2 linked regions of the Cricetulus griseus genome follow. The protein of the gene in region 1 binds, or shares a complex with, the protein of each later gene. Links are inferred from orthologs where the notes say so. Each region holds a gene or a part of one and is shown on either strand. Other genes may lie near its edges.

Region 1 (6,154 bases):
AAGGTTAAGGTGCTGCCCACCCATGATGCCAGTAAGGTGAAGGCCAGTGGACCTGGACTCAACACCACTGGTGTGCCTGCCAGCCTGCCTGTGGAGTTCACCATTGATGCTAAGGATGCTGGGGAGGGCCTGTTGGCTGTCCAGATTACGGTGAGCTTGCTGGCTTCCTGGGCTGTACTGCATCTCCAGGCATAGGGAGGAGAGGCGAGGAATAAGACCTGGGCATATAGAGTATAGAGCTGTGGTGGGCAGGTGGCCCAGTCTGCCTGGAGTTGTACTTGTAAGGGAAGGGCCTCTGCTTCTGGTCTGCTACATTAGGATGTGTAGCAGTTTTCTCCAAGTTGAAAGGAACAAACTATCTCAAATACACATTCATTGGTAAGCATGGTGCTAAAGCCTATAGTGTTTCAGCTTCTTCACATGTAATATTCTCACAGGACAGGTGTAATGTTACAACATTGAGATCTTTCATGGAAGCTCCTAGTGCTGAGGCTGGGCACCAAGCTACTCTTTTGTCATGTCACAGAATACTGTATGTTTGGGAGGTTTCCATTCTGGACTCTGCTATATGCAGGCAGCCTCAGGGGCCATGGGGATAGAGGGTCCAGAAACTATCCCTGTTATAGCAGTATTGGGGGTTTCTATAGAAGGCTGGCTTGGACCGACCTCCCCTGTGCTTTGCTACACAGGACCCTGAAGGCAAGCCCAAGAAAACACACATCCAAGACAACCATGATGGCACATACACAGTGGCTTATGTGCCAGATGTGACAGGCCGGTATACAATCCTCATCAAATATGGTGGTGATGAGATCCCCTTCTCCCCATACCGTGTCCGGGCTGTGCCCACTGGAGATGCCAGCAAGTGCACAGTCACAGGTGAGCCAGCCCACTATCGGCCCCCGTGGCACTAGGCACGGGACTTGGGTGTGCCTGTGTGCAAGGGCTCGCTGCTTGGGGCAGCGTGTGGGAGTGGGGGCCGCCCCCTTGAGTGACTCACCTGACCTTTCTCCTTGCTCTCTGCCCTCTCACCTCAGTGTCAATCGGAGGTCACGGGCTAGGTAAGCTGCTTGCTGGGGCCACTCCCAATGCCCCTTCTGCCCAGAGAGGCAGTTTCCTTTCCTCTTCATTGCTAATTCATTCCCAGGACAGTTCCAGCTGCAGCTCTAGGCAAGGACAGAGTGGGGGAGGCTGTGCAGACAAGGCCATGGGCTGGAGGGTCAGGGCCCAGGGAGGTTTCTAGAGCTAAGCATGAGTGCTCTGGTTCTCCCCTCTCTGGGCCTCCACTTCCCCATCTGAGAACTCGGGTTGCAGCTGAGAGCTTTGGGGTGAAGTGTATCCTAGGAGGCACCCCACTGGGACTTTGGGGGTCTGGGGATCTTGGCACCTCTGGGGATGGGCAACAGGTGCTTCCTTCTCACAAGGGCTCCTGTGTGGGCTCAGGGAACAAGGTGGTTTCCTCCACCCAGTGGGAGTCTTCTAGCCCTCATCAGATCCACAGACTTCCATCCCTGCCTCCCAGGGGCATCTGCGTCCTGGGCTGAGGGAGGTGCATGAGTGGGTGGGGCTGGCTGGTGGTGCAGTGTCAACTGCTTGGGTGGCCAGCATGGTGGGGCCTGGCCCAGCCTCAGAACCCCAAAGTGCATTCCTGCGACCCATCTCCTTTCCTTCTCTTCTATTCCCTCAGCAGTGACGTTAGTTAAGACAGTCCCTATTAGACAGGTTTGTCTGCCCCAAGACAGAGACACCCCAGGGATACTGATAAGACTACAATTATTTACAGGCTTCTGAAGGCTGTAGGCCTGGAACTTGGGTAGGTGGCCAAGGACAGGATTATATGATAGCTAGGTTTTTGTGGCAGAGGCTAGATTGCTTTGTAGAACAGCACATGGAATTGGAGATGACATATATGTACACAGGGCAGGAGCGGGGAGAATAGGCTAGGGGCTTGGAGTGGCCTCAATTTTTCTGACCATTATGTGTGGAATGGAGGCAGGCAGCCCAGTAAGGGAACTTAAATCACCTTTGGGCAAGCCAAAAGGTTGGCTTGTGCCAGGTCAGTAGCCATTGGGACATTAAGCAGTAAATAGCCTGATTAACCAGTATACTTCAAGGATGCTATGGTTAAGACCTGCTGATAACCTAGAGTCTGTATACAGAAATGAGGAATTAAGTAGCTGTCAGGAGAGGGCCCAAGTCATTAGCTAGATGATACAAGGCAGGCATGCAGGAAACTTATAGGGCAACATGGGTATCAGGCAGCCAGGACTATAACTAAAGATGCTGAATCTCATGTTGCCAGTGTGAGACTAAGGTCAATAGGGGGACTTGGTGGCAGGCTGGTAAAAGGGGCAGTCCTTAAACTTGGTCCTCAAGTAGGTTTGGTGCTCCTAGCTGCTTTCCTTGTGGGAGGCTGGGCTGCAGGGGTGCTCTTGCTGCCAGGCCTTACAACCCACAGCTCCCAAGCCTCTACAGCTGAGCCCCAGATCATAACGTCACCGTCGTTTCCCTTTCCTCGGGCACTATGGGGCCCTAGAGGCTACTTAGATGCTTTACCCTTGCAACCCTGTGTGGTGGCTTGGGTCTTCTATCCTCTGTTCCTTGAGTACTGTCACTGCTTTGCCAAGCCTGCTGTGATGTATTGCATGGGTGCTAACTGCTGCCTCCCTGCTGCTTGCTCTTGTCTATGCCAGGCTGTGCTGGGCTGCTTCTCACTACAAGCTTCTGGTTGAGCAAGCGTTCTCAGTCGTCAGGAAACTCCAGTTTCACCTTCAGGCCTCGGGGGTGGATAGGGAGGAAAGTGTCACATTCCCCACACTGCAGTAGGACTCCGCCTCACTGCGTCCACACATTATAGTACTGGGTCTCAGGGCCAGGCCACAGGGGCGCAGGTAGCCATGGGCCTAGCCAGAGTGCTGGTTTTTGTCAGCATAGGCCATGGTACCAGGTGAGGCAGAGTTGGCAAAGGAGGTGGCAGTAAATGCTTGTGCTGGGATGGGATGGTCCCTTACTTTTCCTCCCAGGTACCTCAGTGCCACCTGTTGGGCCTCTCTCATAAAGAGGCTTGAGGTGGTCAGGAGAATCCTTCCTGCCTTCTGAGAAACCACTCACCATCCTGGCTTGGGGTATGGGTTGGGCTAGGGGTACGGGCTGGCTGTGCTTGACTGTAGCAATAAGAGACCTGAATGGGTGGCAGGCTGAGTAGCTCAAATGCTAGGCTCACCTGCTGGCTCCCCTCTGGGGATCCACTCTGCCCTCCCAGGTGCTGGTATTGGCCCCACCATCCAGATTGGGGAGGAGACAGTGATTACTGTGGATACGAAAGCAGCAGGCAAAGGCAAGGTGACTTGCACTGTGTGCACACCTGATGGCTCAGAGGTAGATGTGGACGTGGTGGAGAATGAGGATGGCACCTTTGACATCTTCTACACAGCTCCCCAGCCGGGCAAATATGTCATCTGTGTGCGCTTCGGTGGCGAGCATGTGCCCAACAGTCCCTTCCAAGTTACAGTGAGAAGGGGCCAAGGACGGGTGGGCAGGGAGATCTGGGAAAGTCCTAGTCTGTCCTTCCAGGCCCCTCTATGGCAAAAGTCTCCAGCTCTCCCACTTTGCCCTGCAGGCTTTGGCTGGGGACCAACCCACAGTGCAGACCCCACTACGAACTCAGCAGCTGGCTCCACAGTATACCTATCCTCAGGGTAGCCAGCAAACCTGGGTAAGGCCTAGCCTGGTCTATTGTTTAATTTTCCTGACCCATAGGGACACTTGGAGCTGGCCATCTTGGTGTCTCATGTGACCCTGTTCTACCATATGTGCAGAGAAACCTCAGATCTTCTTGTAGTTCCTCACCTGGTTTTTCTTTCTCCACCACAGGTTTCAGAGAGGCCCATGGTGGGTGTTAATGGGCTGGATGTGACCACCCTGAGGCCCTTTGATCTTGTCATTCCCTTTACCATCAAGAAGGGAGAGATCACCGGTGAGTGAGGGCTGGGAAGGAACTTGGAAACCAGTGATGCTAGGTGTGCCAATTACCTGTCCTGACCTCAAAACCATTATTCTGTAGGGGAAGTTCGAATGCCCTCAGGCAAGGTGGCTCAGCCTTCCATCACTGACAATAAGGATGGTACTGTTACTGTGCGCTACTCACCCAGTGAAGCTGGCCTGCATGAAATGGACATCCGCTATGACAATATGCACATCCCAGGTGGGCTCACTGCCTTTTTCTCACCCCATCATTGTCCCCTATTGCTACCATCTCAGAAAGAACAGGCTGGAATGGGGTTATAGGTCAGTTGGTAAATTGATTGCCTAGCATGCATGAGGTATATGCCTATAATCCTGGAGGAACAGGAATTCAAGGTCATCCTCAGCTTCATAGTGAGTTCAAAGCCATTCAGAGATACATGAGACCCTTTTTCAAAAAACTAAAACAAAAGACTAGTGCGTGAATGGGGCTGGTGGTATTCCATGTGGCTTCTATTCCTGCCTCAGGAAGTCCTCTGCAGTTCTATGTGGATTATGTTAACTGTGGCCACGTCACTGCCTATGGTCCTGGCCTTAGCCATGGAGTGGTCAACAAACCCGCCACCTTCACTGTCAACACCAAGGATGCAGGAGAGGGTAAGGAGAAGCTCTAGCCCAAGTTGTCCTCCCTTGGCTGAGGGCTGGTATGGGAGATGATCCTGAATGGAGTTCTTTACCTCGTCTTCCTGACTCTGCTGAGCCATCAAGTCAACTCATCCACCAAGGCCCAGCAATGCTTCCCTGGGCACAGTTCCCACCCACTCTTACCTGTGATGCTTTTCAGGAGGCTTGTCTTTGGCCATCGAGGGTCCATCTAAAGCAGAAATCAGCTGCACTGACAACCAAGATGGAACATGCAGTGTTTCTTATCTGCCTGTGTTGCCTGGTGACTATAGCATCCTGGTCAAGTACAATGACCAGCACATCCCAGGCAGCCCCTTCACTGCAAGAGTCACAGGTGGGGAGCATCAGGAATAATGACAAGAACAGATGGCAGGGTGGGCACAGTCTTTTGTGGCTGGATCCATAGTGACTAATGGCTTACACTCTTACCAGGTGACGATTCCATGCGTATGTCCCACCTAAAGGTGGGTTCTGCTGCTGATATTCCCATCAATATCTCAGAAACAGACCTTAGTCTACTCACAGCCACTGTGGTGCCACCCTCAGGCCGGGAGGAGCCCTGTTTGCTGAAGCGGTTGCGCAATGGCCACGTGGGTAAGAGGTTAAAAGTTGGCAAGCATTTCTGGGAAGGAGGGAGAGCCAGGTGTGGGAAGGTGGAGGCAGGAGAAATCAGGGGAATCAGTCATTGGCTACATAGTAAGTTAAAGCCATCATTGCCTTTGGGGTGGGGGAAGGAGGGAGGCTATGGGTTCACACACACACTGTTGATGGCTCTACCCTGTGCCCAGGGATTTCCTTCGTGCCCAAGGAGACAGGGGAACATCTGGTACATGTGAAGAAGAATGGCCAGCATGTAGCAAGCAGTCCCATCCCAGTAGTGATCAGCCAGTCAGAGATTGGTGATGCCAGTCGTGTGAGGGTCTCTGGACAAGGTCTTCGTGAAGGTCATACCTTTGAACCTGCAGAGTTTATTATTGACACCAGAGATGCAGGTAGGCAGTGGTGGCCTGCCAGCTGGGGCAATATAGCTTCACTTGGCATTCTGGCTTATAGCTGCTATCTATCCCCCAGGTTATGGTGGGCTCAGTCTGTCCATTGAGGGTCCTAGCAAGGTAGACATCAACACAGAGGACCTGGAGGATGGTACATGCAGGGTCACTTACTGTCCCACAGAGCCTGGAAACTACATCATAAACATTAAGTTTGCTGACCAGCATGTGCCTGGTGAGTATGGCAGCCACACCCCTGTGATTTGGCAGCCTTCCTGGACACACTTCAGTGTCCACCTGTAACCTGTGCAGGGTATGGACTTTCCTTTTTTTCCTACAGGCAGTCCCTTCTCTGTGAAGGTGATGGGTGAGGGCCGGGTGAAAGAAAGTATCACACGCAGGCGACGTGCCCCTTCAGTGGCCAATGTTGGCAGTCATTGTGACCTCAGCCTGAAGATTCCTGGTAGGGAAAAGACCAGAAGGGTTCCTAGGGTAACCCTAAGCACAAGTAGAGACAG
Region 2 (6,154 bases), on another chromosome or scaffold:
TCAGTCTTTTGGGGGGTGGGGGGCATCAAGACAGGGCTTCTCTGTGTAGCCCTGGCCGTCCTGGAATTCACTCTGTAGGCCAGGCTGGCCTCAAACTCAGAGATCTGCCTGCCTCTGCCTCTCAAGTGCTTTAATTAAAGGCGTGTGCCACCACTGCCAGACTGACAGTCTTAAAGTGAAGTTGTGAGGACACTGTGGGATGCCTCACTTGTCACTACCAGAACAGATCTATCAGATTTTCATATCTGAGGGAAAAGTAAGAAACCTTTTTACTCCCCTCCCCCAACTGATTTATCTCCTCACCATCATCTCAAACATCTACACCCTCTTCCTAGCAGGTTAGAGGCTGAAGGAAAAAGGCTATAGGGAGTTATGTTAAGTACCCAGAGAATGAGTTTTAAAAGGATTTTTTTCCTGGTTGGGTCCATGGCCACCTGGGACAGGTCCATCTGTGGCAACAGGACGGAAGCCCCAGAGGCATAGTTACCTGGTAGAGGTTGGCCACGTCTGCAGTGACTGCGAAGATCAGGTTAATGTTATTCTGGGATAGTTTCTCAGTCATCAGCCCCAGAGACGGGTAATCCTGGAAAAGAGGGAAAGGTTCATGGGGATATCGCCAAGGAAATGTGAAACTTAAAACATTTATGCACTAATCAAAGTGAGGTGTTGTGGTTTGGACATGGCTCCAGTGTGTCCCTTGGGTTTCATGTGATGAAATTGAATTCACACTGTGAGATGCTTGGGTGGGGGGGGGATGAAGACAAGCCCCGCCCCCCAACAGTACTGGGGAGTAGAGTATTCGGGAAGTATGGTTAGAGGTCATTACAGCAAAGCCCCCAGAGTTGAATCCCACTAGTGTCATGAGAGGAGAACAATGAAAACAGAAACCCATACACACACTCCCTGACCTCTGCTTCATGCCGGCCTGAGTCTTGGGACTCAGCCAGCAAGATGACCACCAGATGTGGTCTCTCAAACTCGCAAGTTCTAAGAACAAAACTGAAGTTCTTTTCTGGCTTACTGTTAGCAACAGAAAGTGGATATGAAATGAAAGTTGCTATATGAGTGAGAAGGGCAATGCAGTGCAAGCTTAGCAAAGAACCCTAAGCTGGTGGTGTTCCAAAGCCAAGCACCTTCCTTCCCACTCAGATTCAAACCAGCTCCATGAGTTAAGGCCCACCGTTGCAGAGCTGTGGGCAAATGTCCTAGCCTCGCTCTACTGATCAACCAACACGTGACCAACAACCATCACTCACCCCTACTCCTCTTCTACCAGGCACTGCTCTAGCTCACTCCTCCTGCGAGTGACCTTCATCTTGGCAATCCTCCTCCTTCCTTAGCCAAAGCTCACCTCCTCCAAGAGGCCTTCCTTGACCACCCCAGCTCCTAAGGAGCTTTCCTCTTCCGGCTGCCAATAGCCCTTGACTGTATAACACACTTAGCATTCAGCATGCATTCGCTGCTATTGATAAATGTGCTGGAATATATCCTCTCTCTTCATCTAAACAAAAAAACTTGTAGGAGTAGGTCCTTATAGCTTTTTCATCTCTCGCAGCTCCTGATCAGTGCCTTGTATAGACTAGTATCAGAGTCCGATAGTGCTCAGCTTGTATATGGCTAATACCAAGGACTTGAAGAGACCAGGAAACAGTATGAACCAATATGTCCATGGGCTCATAGACCTTGCAAGGGAGCTCATGAGTTCTCTAGCTCAGTCTCCTCCCTTGAATCACTTTTAAGCCACAAAATGGTTCCTCTATTGACTAGAGAAAATAAGGAGTATGTTTTAATAATAAATAAGGTTTTGTTTCTTATTTAAAAATAAACAGTAGGCTGGGGATGGCCTGGTGGATGAGCAATTATCTAATATACTATGAGACGTTGAATTCAATTTCCAGACTAAGGGAAAAAAAAAAAAAAACAGGCATGGTGGTATAAGCTTCTAATCCCAATACTCAGAAGGTTGAGGCAGAGGACTGCAAGGAGAAAACCAGCCTGGGCTATATATAGAACAAGGCCCTTTATCATTTAATCAATTAATTAAAATCAGGTATATTGTCAAATTACTGTAACCCCACTGATGTGAAGGTGATGGCAGAGGACTAAGAATTACAAGTTAACCTGGACTGCATGGCAAAGCCCTGACTCAAGAAAATGAAGGGGGGTAGGGGGACAAGACAGGTAAAAAAAAAAAGTCAAGACTTTCTCCAAATACCCTAAGTGTTATTATTTTAAACTTAGCTACATTTGCCTCATGGTTGACAGTAATTCCTATTTCAATTTAAGCTCCTTTCTTCTTATTTAGTTAACTGTCTATGGTTAAATAAAACACATGAAATAACTTTTCATAAGTTTTCTTACCTATCATCCTAAATTATCCACAAACATCTTTCTTTCAAACCGAATGACTCTGTGCCCTTTAACCTTTCCTCAAGAGGCTCTGCTCTCTGGGTTTTACCTTTGTCCTTTTCTCCCCCTTGTCTTTCCCCAGTAACCACAAATGAGCTTGATTCCAAGAAGGGACCCATCCACAGAGGAAGGAGGGAAGAGAGTTTTCTAGCTGTGCCTTCCCACATTTTGGATGGCAAGATGCTGTTGCTGGTGCTGACGACTGCGGAGTCAGTGTGACGCCCTGGGTGAGGGTGCCCTATTGGGATGTGGCAGAAACAGGCACTAACTGAGCCCCATATAATGCCCAGAAGTAAGTCTGTTTTCAAATTCACACAAAAGCCTTGCCTGGAATAAAACAGCCCTATCAGAGTGAACAAGGACCACAGTGGGACCAGGCATCTCACCATGGTAGTAGAGGCAGAGTAATGGTTGTCACTGCCAATGTGACACTGTCCATCGTTGGGCAGGACAATGCCTGCCAGCCTTCCATCCAGTGCAATGTGGGTCTTGGCATCAGTGGTAAACACCAGCAAATGGGATGCATCATTCCTCCAGCCAATTTTTTCCTGTTTTGAAAAAAAAGACACAGAGACTTCAGCTATGTCATCCGCACTGAACAAAGACTGCAGAACCTCCATTCCTCAAGAGCTGGACAAGCTGTATTGGAGACGGACCTCAGCCCCAAGCCTTGAACATAAACAAGAGCTTTCTAATTCAGGCTTTGTTCCCTTAGGGAAAAAATCACCCCATTGTTGATTAGTGCATGAGTCTGAATCCCACCTTCTTAACTCTACACATAACTCCTCCAGTGACAGAAACCCTCTGCATCCACACAGCTGGCCTGGATTAGAAGAAATCCCACCCAAACATCTGCTCACTTTGCTGAGGTCAAGTTAACGCAGGCTTGACTCTGAAATAATTCCAGAACATGTGAGCCAATGCTCTCCCTAGGAAAGATCTGGGGCTACTGTGGTTCAAAGAGGTGTCAGCTGTGGCCTCGGTGAGGCTATAGAGAGAGACTACACAGCAGGAAAAATTATTACTCATATTGTACAAAGTCCTGCTTGGTTCCCATCCTCCAACACACCGGAAATCCCCAACCAAACTGTTTCCTCCCCCATTTTGATTTATGCCAGCTACACCTGGCACCCCTTGCCCTCCAAACTCACATCACAGACTGTAGCCTGCATGATGGCGTCAAAGCCGCCCTCGGGGGCATCTCGGTTACGTGACACACTCTGTTTCCTCACTTCCTCATTGAAGCGGGTCACCTGGTCAGTTAGCGTCAGCACGTGTTTGTAGCCAAACATCGGCAAACATGTAGTCTTGATACTGGGGGGTGGGGAGAGGGGGAGAAGAGAGGTCATCTTAAGAAAAGCTGTGGTGGAAAGGTGGTACCAGGGTCAGATAAAGACAAAGGGACAGATACTGACAGTAGTGTGCCCAGATCGGGGAGAATCATATTGGTTCTTCTCCTTTTTTCAGCACTGAGAATTGAGCCCAAAACCCCATGCATACCAGATAAATGCTCTACCACACAGTTACACTCCAGTCCCAGAGAATCACAATTACTCAGACAGTCTAGACTCCAAGTCCTTCAGACTACCTGTGGCACCACATCTGTACCTCCAGATAGCCGGAAGGGCAAGTAAGGCAGTGATAAAACCAGACAGGACAGATTAAACCCCAACTCCCCATTTACCAAGCACGGACTCTCTGACGGCCTCTCTAAACCTGCATTCCATCACGCATTTGGTCACAGCCACACGAAAAACAATTAATACACAAGCCAAACAAAGACAAGGGGCTGTCAGTGTACTTAAGTGGTAGGCTTATATATGGAGGCGTATAGTGCTTATCTCAGAGAGCTATCTCAAGACCAACTAAAGCAATTATACAAGACGAAGGCTCATGCAATCATGACTGGAATCATTAACACATTTTTTTTACTGCAACAATAAAGCAAATGTCCAGTAAATTTATAGATCATGCTGTCCCCAGATATGTTTTCTAGGAAAACATATAGCCCAGTCAGAAATTTAAAAACTGTACTGTAATATTTTTAAAGTAAACCCATGCCTTGTCAATCCAGCAATCATGATTTTAATATACTTTATTTTTAATTACATAGAGAGGGAGTGATATTATGGGAGGGAAGCGGGAGAGAGAAGAGACAGAGACAGAGAGAATGAGTTGTGCAGGCGCCCATGGAGGCCAGAAGACAACATGAGATCCCCTAGAGCTGGGGGATCCCCTAGGCTTGGGTTAAGAGCTGCCCGACTTGGGTACTGGAAACTGGACTTTGCCTGGTCCTCTGGAGGAGCAGGAAGTATTCCTAACCACTGGGCCATCTCCACAGCCCAGTGATCATAATTTTAAATCACTACCATACATAGATTTGCAGTCTTCGTCAAGTTAGCCATTCGATAGTAAGCTGCTATGGTTTGAATACAAGATGGGCACCACAGAGTCGTCGGTGTTTTTGAATACTTGGTCCCCAGGCGGTGGCACAGTTTCAGGGAGGTTGTAGAATCTTTGTAACATAGAGCCTAGCTGGCATAAATAGGGCTATATGGGCAGGGCTTGTTTTGTTTGTATTGTTCCACACCAGCTCCGCTTCCAGGCCTAGCGGCATATAGCAAGTGGCTGCCACAGGTTCCCACCACCACAGACCAAGCCACTTCAGACTTCATGCCTTACCTGTCATGATGGATTACATTCTCTGAGCCATGAACCAAAATAAACCTTCACCCTTAAGTTACCTCTAACAAGTATCTGCTCACAACAGCAAGAAAAGTGACTAACACAGCAGCTAAACAGGCACAGGGCTGGAGATGCTGTTCAGTGGTAGGAAGCCTGCTTAGCAAACCTGAGACTCTAAGCTCAATTCCTAGAGCTCCTCCAGCCCCACAGCTAAGGTGGGTTGGCTCAGGCCTGTAATACAGCACTCGGGAGGCTGAGGTCAGTCTAGGCTACATAGCAAAAATCTCTGTCTCAAAGAAAAAAGTGTGAAGGCTGGAGAGATGGTTGAGTGGTTAGGAGCATCAGCTGGCCAGGAAGTAGTGGCTCACGCCTTTGACCCCAGCACTTGGGAGGCAGAGGCAGCCAGATCTCTGAGTTCGAGGCCATTCTGATCTAGAGATTGAGTTCCAGGACAGCCAGGGCCACACAGAGAAACCCTGTTGGGAGGGGAAGCGGGGACTGGCTGATCTTCTAGAGGATCCATATGCTGGTCCTCTGGCACCCACGTGGTGGCTTAAAACCATCTGTAACTCCAGCTCCAGGGGATCCAACACCCGCTCCTGGCCTCTGATGGCACTAGGCACATGCATGGTACACAGATGTGTGCAATGCCGGCAAACACTGATACACATGAAACAATGAAATTTAAATATGTATGTATTTTTCTAAAGGTGGCAAACAGAGAGAGGGATAACTTAACAATTTATATATTGTTAAAGAATTCAATAAAGTGATTTATTTTTCTTGCATTTTAACTTTGCAAGATTTTTGCTCTTGATGCCTGGATGTTCTTCTGAAATCATAATTACATTTTCACTCATCTAGACCTCTCTCTGCTTTTGACCTCATCCCTGCCCCCTCACTTTCCTCTTTCCCTCTATCCATTTGTGACAAAGCCAATAAGCTGATGACATTTCTGTGTAGGACCCCTAGCAGCCTTGAGCCTATTGGTGTAATATTCCAAAATAGGCCCATCTGCCTGGCAGAGAACAAATTGAAAATGATACGATTTGGCAAAAAG

Evidence for each region. Proteins that work in one complex are often made in the same cells at the same time.
Region 2: the proteins of Flna (region 1) and Itgb3 are in contact, whole or in part, in an NMR structure (PDB 2MTP), measured with the Homo sapiens proteins. The link is inferred for Cricetulus griseus from reciprocal best matches to the Homo sapiens genes FLNA and ITGB3. Residues at the interface, in NP_001104026.1 of Homo sapiens: Gly2236, Arg2264, Ala2268, Gly2269, Gly2270, Leu2271, Ala2272, Ile2273, Ala2274, Val2275, Glu2276, Gly2277, Pro2278, Ser2279, Lys2280, Ala2281, Ile2283, Phe2285, Asp2287, Gly2291; in NP_000203.2 of Homo sapiens: Lys742, Ile745, Thr746, Pro771, Leu772, Tyr773, Lys774, Glu775, Ala776, Thr777, Ser778, Thr779, Ile783, Tyr785, Arg786, Gly787, Thr788.

The regions. Positions count from the first base shown.
Region 1 is NC_048604.1:1,479,355-1,485,508, forward strand, and holds part of Flna (filamin-A), read left to right. Parts: coding exon 1-150; intron 151-689; coding exon 690-879; intron 880-1,037; coding exon 1,038-1,061; intron 1,062-3,262; coding exon 3,263-3,510; intron 3,511-3,619; coding exon 3,620-3,715; intron 3,716-3,873; coding exon 3,874-3,976; intron 3,977-4,063; coding exon 4,064-4,204; intron 4,205-4,491; coding exon 4,492-4,620; intron 4,621-4,807; coding exon 4,808-4,981; intron 4,982-5,079; coding exon 5,080-5,241; intron 5,242-5,435; coding exon 5,436-5,639; intron 5,640-5,718; coding exon 5,719-5,871; intron 5,872-5,976; coding exon 5,977-6,099; intron 6,100-6,154. UniProt on the Homo sapiens protein: Promotes orthogonal branching of actin filaments and links actin filaments to membrane glycoproteins. Anchors various transmembrane proteins to the actin cytoskeleton and serves as a scaffold for a wide range of cytoplasmic signaling proteins.
Region 2 is NC_048600.1:117,664,114-117,670,267, reverse strand, and holds part of Itgb3 (integrin beta-3), read right to left. Parts: intron 3,724-6,154; coding exon 3,561-3,723; intron 2,958-3,560; coding exon 2,796-2,957; intron 584-2,795; coding exon 488-583; intron 1-487. UniProt on the Homo sapiens protein: Integrin alpha-V/beta-3 (ITGAV:ITGB3) is a receptor for cytotactin, fibronectin, laminin, matrix metalloproteinase-2, osteopontin, osteomodulin, prothrombin, thrombospondin, vitronectin and von Willebrand factor.